Linked DNA regions of Schizosaccharomyces pombe. The protein of the gene in region 4 interacts with the protein of the main gene of each other region in a pairwise test. Each region holds a gene or a part of one and is shown on either strand. Other genes may lie near its edges.

The links.
Region 1: the proteins of get3 (region 4) and pex14 interact in a two-hybrid assay, tested with the Schizosaccharomyces pombe proteins (one large-scale study listed by BioGRID).
Region 2: the proteins of get3 (region 4) and gup1 interact in a two-hybrid assay, tested with the Schizosaccharomyces pombe proteins (one large-scale study listed by BioGRID).
Region 3: the proteins of get3 (region 4) and cnx1 interact in a two-hybrid assay, tested with the Schizosaccharomyces pombe proteins (one large-scale study listed by BioGRID).

The regions. Positions count from the first base shown.
Region 1 is NC_003423.3:3,730,790-3,734,450, forward strand, and holds pex14 (protein Pex14), read right to left. Parts: upstream 1,611-3,661; 5' UTR 1,564-1,610; coding exon 1,291-1,563; exon of another isoform or gene 1,231-1,290; coding exon 643-1,230; 3' UTR 508-642; downstream 1-507. Other genes in the region: mpg2 (mannose-1-phosphate guanyltransferase), read left to right, coding at 1-435; abh1 (alpha-ketoglutarate-dependent dioxygenase), read right to left, coding at 2,017-2,141, 2,205-2,973. UniProt on the Schizosaccharomyces pombe protein: Component of the PEX13-PEX14 docking complex, a translocon channel that specifically mediates the import of peroxisomal cargo proteins bound to PEX5 receptor.
Region 2 is NC_003424.3:488,411-492,703, reverse strand, and holds gup1 (MBOAT family O-acyltransferase), read right to left. Parts: upstream 2,725-4,293; 5' UTR 2,689-2,724; coding exon 2,442-2,688; intron 2,367-2,441; coding exon 1,933-2,366; intron 1,893-1,932; coding exon 1,773-1,892; intron 1,726-1,772; coding exon 1,555-1,725; intron 1,519-1,554; coding exon 846-1,518; exon of another isoform or gene 800-845; coding exon 693-799; 3' UTR 523-692; downstream 1-522. Other genes in the region: dop1 (family protein DOPEY), read right to left, coding at 1-31, 74-192, 228-243; TIM23 translocase complex subunit Tim15, read right to left, coding at 3,354-3,630, 3,675-3,925; cul3 (cullin 3), read left to right, coding at 4,089-4,130, 4,187-4,293. UniProt on the Schizosaccharomyces pombe protein: Membrane-bound O-acyltransferase involved in the remodeling of glycosylphosphatidylinositol (GPI) anchors. Acts only on GPI-anchored proteins, but not on free GPI lipids.
Region 3 is NC_003424.3:2,085,826-2,089,971, forward strand, and holds cnx1 (calnexin Cnx1), read right to left. Parts: upstream 2,500-4,146; 5' UTR 2,473-2,499; coding exon 790-2,472; 3' UTR 568-789; downstream 1-567. Other genes in the region: pex13 (peroxin 13), read left to right, coding at 1-289; CLIP170 family protein Tip1, read left to right, coding at 3,962-4,146.
Region 4 is NC_003424.3:3,635,176-3,638,890, reverse strand, and holds get3 (GET complex ATPase subunit Get3), read right to left. Parts: upstream 1,882-3,715; 5' UTR 1,790-1,881; coding exon 800-1,789; 3' UTR 501-799; downstream 1-500. Other genes in the region: ESCRT III complex subunit Vps32, read left to right, coding at 1-120; Cu transporter complex subunit Ctr5, read right to left, coding at 2,605-3,126. UniProt on the Schizosaccharomyces pombe protein: ATPase required for the post-translational delivery of tail-anchored (TA) proteins to the endoplasmic reticulum. Recognizes and selectively binds the transmembrane domain of TA proteins in the cytosol.

The DNA.
Region 1 (3,661 bases), on a different chromosome or scaffold from region 4:
CATGATGGTACTCTTCCAAAACCCGACACTGAGGCTGAGATCATTCAGCCGGTTTTTATTCATCCTAATGCTATTGTTAGCAAAGGTGCAAAGATTGGACCCAATGTTTCAATTGGTGCTCGTGTTCGCATCGAGGATGGCGCACGTATTCGAAACTCAATTATTCAAGAGGATTGCGAAATTTCTGCCAATGCTGTTGTTTTACATTCCATTCTTTCCCGCCATTGCAAGATTGGTAAATGGTCTCGAGTCGAAGGTTCTCCAACTCTTCCAAGCCAGCACTCCACTACGATTATGCGTAACAGCGTTAAAGTCCAAGCTATTACTGTTATGGGCGCCGATTGTATAGTCCATGATGAAGTACGCGTTCAAAATTGCCTTGTACTTCCTCATAAAGAAATAAAGGTTGGTTTGGTTGGTGAGATTGTGATGTAAGATACTACATTTAACCTTGCAGCAAACTTGCTTTTTATTATATCTACTTGACTCTCCTTTATTATATAATATACATTTATTAGCTGATGCAGAATGCAGATTGTTAAATGATTAAGATGCGTCTTGACAGACCAGTTAAATGACATTAAGTATTATTCTAGAAAAAATCCTGAATTTAATTGTTATTAGTGATTTGTTTTATTACTGTCAATAAGCATCTTCTGCAACGTAAGACTCTGCGGGATCAATATCATTGAAATCAATGTTTTTAGAAGCCTCGTTATGCATTGATATTTGCCAATCTGGAAGGGAGGCAGTACCAACCTTTTTAGTTTGAAAACCTTCTGAAGTATCTAAAGGATTCTCTAATACTGGTATCGAAGAGTTTGATGTGGTAGCGAAAGTGTCGTCTTTTTTTGAATCAGTTTGTAAACATCGTAGAGAGCTAATTTCTCTCGAAAGGTTTTGTAATGCTTCTTCTTGAGATTTCTTAATTTGCTCAAGACTTTGTGGTAAAGTAATAGTACTCATGGTATATACATCTTGTGAGATTCTAGCTATTTCACGATCTCGGTTTTCGGACGTACGCTTCAAAGTATTCAACGTCTCTTCTAAATCATCTAACGCAATGTCCAATTCATCTTGCTGTTTTTCAGTTCTCTCGGAAAGCTTTCTTGTTTGTTCATCTAAATTTTCGAGTATTTTATGAGCTTCTAGAAATTTAGCATCCAAAGCGTTTTTATCAGCTTCATAAGCGTTTTGAGATGGTGCGCGAAACATTGGTGCTATGTATTTCTAAATTTAATTATGTTAAAACAGCACGAATATTTTAAATGTTCAGTTTTTTGAACGTACCTTTACTAATGAATACGCCGACCATGCAAATCCAGTCGAAATAACGCCCATAATAAACCAATCTCTCCAATCTCTTGAAACAAAATTACTAGTGTTTTCAAATCGAGGATAAGAAGGGAATAGCGGATTTTTTGCTAGCTTGAATGCTTCTTGAATTTCTTCGGCAGTTAAACCTTTGGATTTTAGAAATTCAATCTTTTTCACATCAGGAGCATCTAATACAGTTTTTTCTCTTAAAAATTCAACGGAGTTTCTTAACAAATCCTCCCTCATTTTTCAAATTGACAAATGCTTTGTACCGAATTCGCTAGTTAGTAGTTGTATGGAAATAAGCAACTGAAATATATTGAGTAAACTCCGGACTGCAAGATAGTAATTTCACGATAATTCTCTAAACAAGCTTGGAAATGTCGAGGTTTATGTTTTTTTAAGAATGGGATTACACAATTGTTTAATTTGTCAAATTAATTTGTGAAAGTACGCTAATGAATTGTTCTGGTTATATTACGCCGAAAGTTATTAACTGACAAATTAAAGAAAAAATTGTTTCTTATTGTTTGGTGGTTTAATACAGTGTTAAATAAAAAAATTATTTTTCGAAAGTTCAATAGAAGGAACAAAATATTGACAAAACAAGTAAGCACATGATATATATGTAATTATGGTATCAATCATTCCTAAGCCCTAAAAACAATTTCTATTTTATTAAAAATAACCATATTTACATTATCTAGAAGGCCTAACCTGTCTAACATTGAAGTTCACTCGCTTTCTTGAAATCCATCCATCCCAAGCCTTGTTTCCAGTCAATAGGTAATTAGGCGTAGAGTTGGGTATAATCTTAGGAACAGCTGCGGTAAGTTAGTAAGCAATCAATTGACTATAAATGAGGTATTTGAATGAACAATGCTTACCATGGAAAGCCTTTCTAGAAGTTCCAGTCATAATTACAACGTCTCCACTGTGTAAACGTAAAGCTGAAGGCTTTTCCGACCTCGACTCGGTACCGATCAAATATATGCAATCCAAACCCATTGAGAGAGAAATTAATGGAAGTGTCAAATCCTCTTCAGATTCATCGATATGTGCACTCAATGTGTCACCAGGAGAATAAAAATTTACGATTGCAGCTTCAGCTTTCCAATGTAAAAAATCTGTGCTCTCTTTAACAACCTTTTCAACAAAGTCACCTAAATCTTTGGGAAACCCAGGAGATTTGGAAGGATCAGGATACTCCTTCGTCGTCCAGTCATACTGTTCACCTAGTGTAACCCATCGAAGCTTTTTATGAACTAGTCTGTCAACCGTCAAAGGCTTAGTTTCTCCAAGGCCGTCAATGATACTTTCTCCATCACCATTGTAATATCTGCGCCATATGCTATCATTACCTAATGGTAGTTGATAAAATGGTGAAAGGTTGGTCTTGTTTTCAGGATCTTGAATTTGCGTAAACATTATAGATTTTAACAGCTGCATTTGCAGTTCCGATGAAACATAGTTTTTAAGAATTAATAATCCAGGAGCTTTTTGAAAAGAAAAAACTCTAGGTTTAATTTCAACTAAAGCTTCAAATCCAAAAGACTGGGGATCATTAGGATCAAGGACCTCAGACATGTCAGGAATTGTGTCGGCACGACATTTATAGCGTTTTTCTTCTAAACGAAAAACATTCGCCTGTTCCATGTTTCCCGCTAGCATTTCAATAAACTAACTTTATGTGGAGAAATCGACAGATCATTTAATAGAGACTGAATGAAAAAGTTTAGGCCACTTGCAAGGTTTTTCTCCCAGACAGTCATAGATAATTAAATACAGTAAGAACCATAGTACAACTTAATTCAATTTTTACCATAATGCGTAATATTTATTACCTTTACATCTTTTATACATATTCTCAATTAATATACTTTGGCATATTTTAAATGCGAAGTTCTTAAATACGCTTTAAATGGTTAACCCTTTTAAAGCAGCAAGACCCAACAATACTATTCATTTTACCGAAAAGTGGTATTTTATCATACAAAAAATAGAAGAAACAGGCAAACATTCGAAGTTGTTAAAGAATAGAACACTTTTATACGTAACTACAAATTGAGTTATAATCACTGCCAAAATTCCCTATAAAACAATTCGTATAAACACAGTGTCGTGAATGAAAAAAATAAGAAGATTTTACTTTTAATAAAGTGATGGGATCAGTTTAAGACTTGAATGAGATGAAATGTTTTTTATAGTAATTTATTCATTTACGTAGGTCCAATAGAAAATATACCGATGTCAATCGATTTTGTTTTTAAACTCGCAGTCTGAAAATATCTTAAAGTAACCTATGTCAACAATTCAACATCAACATTATTTAGAGAATAAATAA
Region 2 (4,293 bases), 3.1 Mb from region 4:
TATTAACAAACGAAGAGTGAGTTTGCAAAACCTTGATATTAGTCTGTGTATAAATATAAGTGAAATCACTTACCTTGTGCAGCTTTGTTAAAAAGGAGATATAATCGGGCCATTGTTCTACAGTTTGGAATAAAGCTATGCATTTTCGTATGGCGTCTTGGTATTTTCGATATTTAGCATCATTCGAAGCGTCTAAAAGTTAATGTAAGATCATATTAAAATCGTACCAATTATAGTGTTCATAATACGCTCATAAAATACGGGTATAAATTCAATATGACTGCATAGAAACTATTGCACTTGTTGGTTAGTTGGCAAGGCTAGGAATAAGGCTAAGCTACGCTAGCATATATCTGGGGTATAGTGAGTTAGAAGTCTGTGACTTGCAATATGTGCTTCTGAGTATTTATTTACGATAAAACTGTAAACAATTATTTGGATGGACTTTTAAAAAAGTCACAAGTAAATTTAGTAATTATTCATTCTTTTTGTAAATTATACCAGAACCATTATTTTAAAAACGCGGTATGTGCTATTGTTACTAATACTCAATCCCACAGTAAGAACCTCACAAAATTGAACAGGTAATTTTCCAAATAATTACTGATGATTATTACAACAAACAAGTATTAAAAAAGTACGAAATAAAAAAATTAGTAATGATCCACGTATTTTTTTTTTAATACTAATATTCAGCAACGCAAGTTAATTCCTTCTTCTTCTTCATTTACGCGAATTTGAAACATGATTTGTACAGCAGAGAAGAACATTATAAATGCTGCTATCGCGGACATTGCACCTATAATAATTAGTTATACAAATCCGAAAATAGATAAATTTCTTACCTTTGAGGGTCAGAAAAAATGAGACAAGAACATTTTTAATTCCATCAATTCCAACTGCGAATCCAATCAAGTTGCAAATGATCATAAAGTAAATATTTAGAGCAGCCCCAAATCCAGAGATGTATCTATAGTAAGGGTGCTTAGTAAGACCAGTTCTACGCGACATAAAGCAGCATAATCGTTCTGGAAGAATAAATAGTACAATTAACCAACCCCACGCAAATAATTCCCAACTGATGTCATGCCAAAGAGCGACAAAGGTGAATATAATAAATAAGTTCAAGATTGAATGATTACTTCCTCCTAAAGGAACGTAAATATACCTAATCAACCATCGATTGAAACTACGGTGCCATGCTCGCCAAAATCCAACAGCTGAATAGTTGTTACACATGCATCGAACTATGTTTTCGGGAGGTTCGATATCATCAATTAATGACCATAATCTAAATAATCGCCACGGTATAAGCAATTTTAGCCAAGTCATAAATAGAACGATAAAGCTTATCATTGCGGATTCAACCGCACTGTATTGATTCCAATTTCCGTCCTTAGAAATAGCAGTAACGTATGCATAGTGAAGTAAAAACTCCATGGTGAGAACACATACTAAAAATCGAATTGCATAAAGAAGGTTCCTGTATTTTAGCGTTGAAACTGTGGGATATTTCATCTAAATATTAGCAGAAAATTTAATTAAACAATTTACCTGGGACATAAAATTGTTGAACGAAATGATAGGGCCCGCTAAATATAAAGGGGCATAAAAAATGTATGTCAAAAAATTCTTAAGATTATAATCTTCATCAAGACAAGAATAATCAACCCTTTCACGAAACGTCAATGTTGTTGGCTCACGATCTTTGTCAAATATTAGAGTCTAATGGTTATTATTTATAAACTCAAAAGGCATGTGCTCAAACTTACGTTAAGTTTTTCAGAGTTGTGCTTTAAGGACCAGTAATAATCCATATTAAATGACACGAGCCGAAGCATGGTAATGTTAAAAAGAACATACCAGCGCTCAAGAATCCCAGTATATTGATCCTGTAAAAAGATTAACATCTGATGGCTAAAGATAGCGTACCAAAAACCCTAGGCCTGGATGAAGGCTAGAAAATTTGCAATAGGCAAAATATTCTTTAAAAAACACCACTGATATATCTAATGTCCATGTCAAGAGTGGATTAAAAATACTGTTCTTTAGAGACTTAGAAATGAGATAATTGATCAATGCAATTGTTAAAACATATATAACGCCAGTCCCGTAGACAAGTAATGCAAACAGCAGGGAGAAGCAAAGTCGATAGTTGTTTTTTATAGCGAGTTCATCATTAGTATTTTTTGTGAAGACAAGCTTAACGAGTCTCCAGAGAAAATTATAGACAATAATTACAAGTAGTAAGATTGGCATATTTTCACGAAACGCGGAATACTGAAAATCAGCGGAATCGACTTTTTGTCCAAACAACCACCCAGGCTTTAAATATTTTTCAATGTTTTTGTAATTGGGATGTTTTGCTGACGCCTAGTTAGTTGCTTACTTTATTTCAAATTGATAAATAGAAAAGGCTGATTAAAGCTTTTGACACTTACGAGAACTAACATAATGAATTTTAAAACAAGCAATTGTTAGAATCGATAGAATGACAGAAAAGTAAAAAATAAATTCTATGGAACCAAAAGCGCTCTTTTCCGGAACTGCGCTTCGAACGGTCAAACGTGAAGATGAAGATGGATGACTTGAACCAGAAGTCGAACTTAACCGTGAACTTTTAGAATTGGGTCTTTCAGTATCTTTGGTCGAAGTCTCAAGAACATCAAATCGAAATAAACGTAACATCCTAGAAGTCTCCTACCAACAGCAAAGAAGATGGTCGGTTCTCAAAATATCATAGAGTAAACAAACCTAGTGGTGTTCACTAGCAAAATGCAAGACACTGCGTAATTTACACTTTGTGTCAGCTTCATAGTCCGTAAATAATTTTAAGAGTAAGGTAGAGAGAGTATGATGAAATCAATTATATTTTTAAAAATAATAAATTCAGTTTGTATTGTTTATTGGAATGAATAAAATAGTCAGCACTATACAAAACGCGCTATTAAAATAGAAATATTAATTAAGCATCTTTAAAGACTAAATTTTGATTTTGGTAAATTAGCAACTTATATATTGAAAAATGTTTTACATTCGTTTGCAATAATTCTGTATAGCCCATTTAGATCTCTAAAATCGTTAATTTTTATAATTAATTAATTAATTTATTTTTTTTTGGATATGATTTGCTCAATGATTGCTAAATTATCACATCTAGTCTAAAAATTCAAAAGATAATTTCAAGTTAACAAGCTCATATAATAATTAAATGTTCTATTAGAACGTCGTATATATTGACCAAAGTATTACAAAAATAAATAAAAATAATATATACTATAGAAATTAAAATAAACAATGACTATATCTTGCAATTTATATGCTCCTAAACCCAATTTGATCGCTCTCCTAGTTCATTTGGAAGAATTGGAAGAAGATGATTTTGCTGGTCGAATTTTAAATTGAGGGGGCTTAAATTCTACAACATTGCCATTGATTACTTGACCATAGCCTTTTTTAAAAGTTTCCCCTTTCTTAGCTAAAATGTCTTCAATCGTCACCCGTTCTTCAGAGAATATTTTTAAATGATCAGCCATCAAGTGCCGATTTTTGCACTTAGGACATTGAACTAAAACGGTCCCATTATGGTAGGCCTGCTTGGAGAAATTGTGATTTGACCTAGTGTTACATCTTTCATTTGGTTAGTATCCTTCAATGAAATTATAAATACTTACACGGTACAAGTAAAAGAAACATTATAAGTCGGTTTAGGTTGTAATTGATCAGCATCTGATTTTACAGAGGGAACACCACTTGCAAGATCTTTAGCATCGCTTTGAGTGAAGCGTTTGCATTGCCAATTAGAAATGTTTCTCACATTCGGGGAACAGAAAAGTAAACTTGAAACCTTTACCTTGTTTGAAAAATTTTTTAACTGCAAATTTCGTAAACAGAATTTTTGAGTATACCGTGCAAAGCTCCACATTATGTTTGAAAAATTTTTGTGTTCGGAGAATGTTGTTCGTAGTTAGTACCTTCTACCACCTTTTGTACCATTACTTCCGTCTGTGCTGGCGTTTCTTTATGCAAACTCATATGCCCATATATTTAGCTTTTTTGTTGAAACTTAACTTTAAATTCCATTATTAATGCAGCGGTCAGCGAAGTTAAAAATTCGAGCGCCACGAAAAGTAAGTGTACCTGATGCATGCTGTCCTTATTATTTTCCTCACATACTGACATTTAGTTTTCTGCTAACCAAGTAGACTTTGCTACACATTGGGAAGTCTTGCAGCGAGCTATTGGGGATATATTTCAGAAAAGCACATCTCAATTATCGTTTGAAGAGTTGTA
Region 3 (4,146 bases), 1.5 Mb from region 4:
CTTACCTTATGCAATAATTAGGTTATTCAAAAATATTTATGAAAAAGAAAAACAGATTCAACAAGCAAAAATCAGAAAAAAAATTGATAGTCTTGAGTTTTGCAAGGCTGATTATGAGTTTATGTCCAGAGATCCGGGAGTGGAAATGTCTTTAAAAAAAGGAGATATCATAGCAATTCTATCTAAAACAGACACCCAAGGTAATCCTTGCGAATGGTGGCAAGGAAGAAAGAGATCTGGCGAGACTGGGTGGTTTCCTTCAAATTATTGTTCAATCATTTCAAGGTAACGTTACGATATTTTGTTTGAGGACAATAAAATGTCTGAATCCCGTATAGTAAACGAACTTTTTAGTTTGACAATTTATTCTACTATTCTCACAAGATATGTAGACAAACATCCTTTCTCTTGATTGCAGAATTTCACGCATTACTTGCACTTGTTTATGGGAAATGCCTGATCATTTCTCTCTGACGACTAATGCGCAGTTGTAAAAAGTTTTTTGATAGTACTACCCACGATTTATAAATTCATAGTCTATTTATTGATATTACTCATAATAAGAACTAGAGAAAACATTTTCAAGTATTTTATAATTAGACTAAGGCTTTTAACAGAGTCGCTACTTTGAGTCAAACTTTGTAAACAAAATATGCTGTATTAGTGAGTATATATATTGATATATTCATTTACTTCAGTCAAAAGTCCACAAAGGAACAGGAAGTAGTTTATTGCAACTTCTATGCGATTCTTAAAATAAGAAAAACTTTTGACATTTTAGCAGTTTCATTAGTCTTCATTCTTCGCAGTTGGTGATTCAGTTTCGGGAGCGTAAGAAACGTCTATCTTCTCAGTCTCAGTCTCTTGCTTAAACTTCTCTTGCTGCTCTTTCTCAGCTTCCGTAGTTCCAGTAGATAAAGAAGCCGGGGAAGAGGAAGCAAAGAAATAAAAGTAACAAGTAAGAATAACAGCGGTTAAAGAGCCAAGAACGGCAACAATTGCAATCCCAATTTCAGGAGTCTCGATGATGGTTTCAACATAGTAGTCAACTTTTTCGGCAACATTTGGAGGAAGTTTAGCTTTAATAATATCATATACGTCAAGAAACTTCTCAAGAATTTGATTAGACTCTTCGTCAACATGCATTGATTGCTTTTCCATGGACTCTTGCTTAGAAAGTAATTCTCTTTCAGCTTTCAATTTAGGTAGGAAAGTTTCATTTCCAAGACGTTCAGCGTCCTCAATTGAATGGCCGACATAGATATTGCTAAAGCGGATGTTGGGCTGCATAGTCCAAAGTTCGAAACCAACACCGTAGAGTGGACCGAAATGAGAAGGATGATCATCATCAAAATAGTCAGGGTTAGGAATTTTACGAGGATACCATTCACCAATGAATTCAGGATTAGGGATCATAGGAGGAGACCAAGGGCCACGATAGTTAGGGTTACGAATCATCGGTGGCTTCCATTCACCACAGCCAGCACCTTCAATGCATTTAGGATTGATGATTTCACTTGGAATCCAATCACCATCTTCTTCATCATCCCAATCCTCAGGCTTCTGAGCTTCAGGATCAGGAATGTAAAGAGGTTCATCCTCTAACCAATCCTCAGGTTTCACTGCGTCAGGATCAGGAATCATACGGGGAGCGTCTTCATCCCAATCATCAGGCTTAACCGCATTGGGGTCAGGAATTTCAGGTTCGTCAACCCAATCAGCAGGCTTGATATCTTCGGGATCGTAAATTTCAACGGGAGGAAGAACAGGAGGTATAAAATCATAAAACAAAGATCCTTGACGGACAACATCGCCATTAATACGGACTTCGAAGGTTTGGTCAGGCTTCACAATTAAAGTGTAAAGGTTTGTAATACCAGGTTTCAAAAGGCTGGCGGGTCTAGAGTCGAGATGCTTCTCGGAATACTCACCCGTAAGGGGATTCTTATGCTTGAAGATAAAATGAACACGGTCATTAACACCACATTTGTCGGGTCCAAACATGATTCTGTAATCGATGGAGTTTGACATTTCACCATGAGTGGGTTCTGCTAAGAGCTTTAAATATGCACCACCACAGTTCAGACCCTCTTCGGGGTTAACCTCATATTGAACTACCAAATCCTTTTCTGGTTCATTTATGGGTTCATCAAATTCATAAGAAATAGCATGATGAGCGGCTTCGTCTTTCATAACGAGACCGGCTTCACCCTTAAGGGCACCGGGACCAGAACTTTCCTCAACAGTCCATTCACCTACATAGCTCATTTCTTCAATACCATTTACAAATCGTTTAGCATGTGAAGGAATCCAACGTTCAGACCATGCACCTTGAAACTGCTCAACAAGAGGCGCTTTCACTTCAGTTGGGTTAAAAACCAAAGGTTCTTGTTCGGATTCAGGATCAGCAAGTGATCCCCGAACATATAAAGAGCACAAAAGCGCTAGAAAAGATACCTTTCCGTACTTCATTTCCACGTGTTGGGTGGTGTAGTTGATAACTACGGTGCGCGGTTTTGCGTGTGTTTTGGTAGTACTACGGCTTTGATCGATGAGATGGATCAGCAAACATAATCGAAAGAATAATGGAGAAGGTTCCGGAACGAAAAACAAATCGCATTAAACTTAGATGATTAGATTTGAAAGACCTATCTGGTAAGTTGTATTTGCATTAGATCTTTATATTTATTTTACTTCTTACTTTGTGAATTACGGAGCGCAATGTCTTGCTATAATGAAGGTTGCAGTAACATGTTTACAGTAAACGTTTGCATTTTAATATACTAAGTATTTGGCTTTAATTGTTCTCCCCATTAAGTAAAAAAAAAGAGTAATGCAAACAATGAGATAAAATAAAAGTTTACAAACTATCACTAGTCATAAAGCCTTGAAAGCGCTATACTCGTAGTCTTTGAATCTTCAATCATTAGAATATGCTTTAGTCTGACGCATAACAACTGTCAGGTATCAAACAAGTTTTTTTATTCTCGTACACCATTAGCTCAAAATTGGGACAATCACAATATTTAATATGTTTTTTTTTTAAATAGTTTATAGTTAGCCTTTAGCAAAATCTCAAATAGCAAATATTTTTTTAGCAAGTCCATCATTATTAAGTGCAAATATCTACCGGGTTAAAGAGAAAGATGACTATTGTCTTGGTAACAGATTGAAACATGAAATCTATGAGAGTAATATCTATTAATAAAAACACACCGCTTTGCACTTCGTAAATTGCTTTCATACTCTAGTATAATAAGTTTTACAACATCTGATACATATAATTTTTATTAAAGAGTTAGTTAGTAAACAAAGATTTGTTGTTGTGATAAAACAACTATTTTGTATTGAGTATATTTATTCATTGTTTTGTTTACTTTTAATTTTGATTAAGTAGCAATGTTACCTCTAAGCAGTTCGAGCAAATACCACTTTACCAGTACCCACCTATATTCATAGGATTAGTACACCACGGTGCGTTTGCTTGCTTTCAACTGTATTTATTATATTTCTTTTAAATTTTGTTTAGATGAAGATCTTTAATTGATAATCTAAAAACTTAATTGGAAAGTTGAGACTTGACCATAGTAATTTCATCAATAGTTACCTCAATTTTGGATATTGGTTAACCTTCTTTTAATTCTTCTCCCTTTCTCACTGCTAGTATAACATATATCAAATCAAATAAGCTGGAAAATTGGTTACTTGAGTACTTAATTTACGATCTTTTGTCGGCAGCAAATAGATATATTCATTTATCTACGAATTGAATTTTTTGTTATCCCCCTAATACTTGATTACAATCTTTTGGTTTCAAATTGTCTCTTTCTTTTTATTCCTTATACCACGTCAGCATTTTCTACGTTCCATTTTCAACTTTACTCCTTCAAACCTTATAGCTCTATTTTTGTCATCGAGAAACTTTTGAATCTTTTATTAATATTCCTAAATTTTCCTCTAAATGTTTCCTCTTGGCAGTGTCGTTGAGGTAATAACCGGAGAGCGGGGGTTTGTCCGTTATGCTGGAGAAGTGGAAAACCGAAAAGGTGTGTATGTCGGCTTGGAGCTTTTACCTGAATTTGCCGAGTTTGGTAAAAACAGAGGCGTCGTTGATGGTCGTGAATACTTCAAAACTAAAAACAACGA
Region 4 (3,715 bases):
CACACTCCTGCTGTTCCTGCTGTCCCGTCTCAAGTCAAAGACCTCCCTTCTATTTCAAAGCCTCAAGAATTGGATGAAGAAGAAGAACTTCGAAAACTACAGGCTGAATTCTCTCTTTAAAGTGACCAGTACGCTTGCTCGGTATTTTTATTATTTTCTCAATATGTTAAAGTCATCTTCTAAGGTTTCTGTTATAACTTATGGAATTATTTAATTTGTCAGTTGTTAGTATTCTATGTTTTCCTTGTTATGAGTCATCATGGAAGCCTAAATACAAATTTTATGTACAATACCATTATTAGACTATAACTTATAGGTCTCCGTCCTCATGTTCGGATGTGTGTTTTTTCATTGTATTTTAATAATTGGTGTAGTTAAATAATCTACGGAAAAACTAGCTGAAGAATTTTACATATTACGTCTTCTTCATTCTACTAAAACAACTGTATCAAATGACTGTTAGTTCAAGTTAACTTTTTAATGTTTTGAGTTATTCCAGACACGTTCATATCTTGTCAAATTGATTAATATTAATCTAAACAGTGTGCTCAGAATCCTGTTGTGTTTAATCATTAAACAGTGTATCAACCTAGCGCTTTTGGTTTATTTGCTTTGGCAAATAGTCAAGCTCAACTGAGGAAACGATAAGAATTCTTCAACAAAATAAAAGTAATGTAAAAACTTAGAAACAGCCATTCTAATATGCATATTCAAGCTGTCAATCAATTTGTTAAAAAATATACATTTAGAGGCTTTTGACACCCTTATTAACAGCAGTGGATAAGATTGAAAAAATACATTATTCTTTGCCAGAAGTAGGATAAACGTAAGGCTTGACCAACATCTCAGAGAAAGACTTCAAAGCTTCAGTACCGCGAACTTCAGCTGGAACTTGCGGTACTTTGACAACATGAAAGTCTTCATAGAGCTCTTCAATTTGCGCCAAATATTTTTGTTGCATTTTTCTTCTAGCCATACACTGGGGACAAGTGGTGTTGGGATCAAGCAAAAGTTGGTTAACAACGATGTTGTGAGTATCAATTTCATAACTAGTAAGTTCTTGAATCATTCTTTCAGTTTCATAAAGAGAAAGGAACTCGGAAATACATACACACACAAAAGTAGTAAGATCTGGATTCTTAAATTGCTTGTTAACTTCAGAAATATTAGCACGCATGCTTTCCATCTTTCCAAATAGATCTTGTTCATTGGCATTTACACCCATTATGCTACCCATTTGGTTAATCATAGGGCCAAATCTACTGGAGAGACCGCCAAGCTTGCCGAGAGCTTTTTCCAAAACAGTTGGAAAATTCAAAAATCTTAACGTATGTCCAGTAGGAGCGGTATCGAAAATGACACAATCAAATTCCATAGATTTGATCTGCTTAAGGATTTCAGCGAATGCCAATGCCTCGTCGATACCTGGTATTGTAAAAGCCAAATCCTGCATCATTCCAGATAAAGGATTATTGGGATTTTGTTGGTCAGCTTGCTCTGTCATTTCCTGAATGGATAAATTAGGATCGATCTCCATGGCACTCAGATTATCAAAACCAGGAACCTTACGAGCGTCTTTTCCAAATTTCGTGCCAAAGGCATCAGAAAGATTGTGAGCAGGATCCGTGGAGATAAGTAGAACAGAGGATCTAACTTTTGACATTTGAATGGCCAATGAACACGACGTAGTTGTTTTTCCTACACCGCCTTTTCCTCCTACAAAAATCCATTTTAAGGAAGTTTGCTCAAGAAGGTTTTCTAAGGTTCCAGGCAATGGGTCGAAGGACATTTTACTTTATTAGAGAATTTTTTTTTTTAATCTGAAGCTAGTCTTCTTATAGACTCTCGTTGACCAGATGCACGATGCGATATGCTGAGGATAGGTGTTACGACAGTTTGCAAGTGAAAATGAAGATCCTAAGTACGCGGCAGATCAGTTCCCAACGATCAGAGATAAAAATTTAATTAAAGACTTAATAATTGTACATTGCAACTACAATTAATAGTGTATAGCATGTTTTGTTCCTATTTTTGATACGCTAGCAATATAACAATTAAGTAAGTTTTTTATCAAGGATTCGTAAAGCCATGCTAGTAGAATGCTAAATACGGTATGCTGAAATTTCATAATTAAAAAAATTCCTTTAAATGGATTTTCTAATCGTATAATATGTTTTGGCCTGCTGAAGCTCGATTACCATATTCGTTATAAAGAAAAGAACTACATGGAATCATTCAACGTAAATCAAGGATCAGAGCTACAGATGTTTGTTGATGACTAAAGCACTCACAAGAAATCAAGGAACAACTTTGAATCATACTGAGCAGAGAATATACTATTTTGTACCATCATATAAATTTGCATCCATATCAACAACATATTTAGTAAACTACCAGTTTTTGCATACCGATAGAGGAGATATATTAAACTGAATTAAAGAAAAAGTTATTATTTCTAAGTCTGAATATAATCCCTGATAAGCAAACAAAGAAAAACATAAAACACACTATCGAAACCCAACACCAAACAAAAACAATCGTAAAAAGTATTAATAGTACATTAAAATCGGATCCTTATGAATACCCCTGTACAATTAAATATGACTATCTTGATTCGCAGCATCCAGTACCAGTGGATGGGGTTCCATAAGTATCACTCGCGAAAAGGAAAAATCCTATCCAAGCACCTACGAAACCGAACAAAATGGCATATCCGTTAAACGACATTACAATCAACATGAGGATGGTAGCGGACAAGTAAAACGATGAATACATGGCTGCTCGTATTAGTTGTTGCCAGACAGTAACATGCACAGTGGAACTTGGAAAGAAGATACGCAGAGGTCCACTTAAAGTTTTGCCATTAGAGTGAGCAACAATCCAGCGATCAAACATTCTTTGAACGAGGGACAAACCTTCAATAGCGACGGCGAAGAAAAAAATTCCAATAATACTACCGGCGAATTTGTTTCCAGTGTTGATATGCCAGGATTTAGCCAGGAAACACGAGTCATGTATATACCAATTCCATAGCATACTCATGCGACATGTCGCAGCACTCGAGTTACTGGAGCTACCCATACCCATGCCACTCATGCCACTCATACTCATCTTACTTAAGCTCATTTTGTTGCAAGAAGCGTTAGCCAAATATTGAGAAGTATCTTAGGTATCTGTCAATAAAGGATAAGAGCCGATAAAAAGAAAGAAAAGAAGACACTCAATGGAAAGCGTCTTAAACTAAAATAACAAGTATAACCGGAACAATGCGAAAACAAATGTCTTTTGTTGAAAGTAAGTTAATAACACTAGTTTTACCACCTTTAAGCGAAATATCTCTCTATGAGCTGGGCCTTTTTCGCAGACAGACAAAATGTATAATTTAGCAACTTCTTACTGCTACCTATACACTTGAATTAGAATGATCACTACAGGTTTTTTTCAAGTCCTGAATGTTCAATTAAGCTGAACGCTCAAATATCGCTTCAAAGTGAACGGGGGTAGGATTACCTTTTATAGCAGTTTAAAAGCATCATCTACTGATATGCGACTTTTTCTCCTTTGGGTAAAAACTACCAGCTATAATCGCTCAGCAAAATTCCCGCCAAATGGTGATTAAGGTATTGCGGCGGGTCGCGTTAATCGAAAAGAATATAAAAATAAAAAAAAAAAGCAAAATTAATTAATTAATTAAATCAAACATACAAAGGAATTT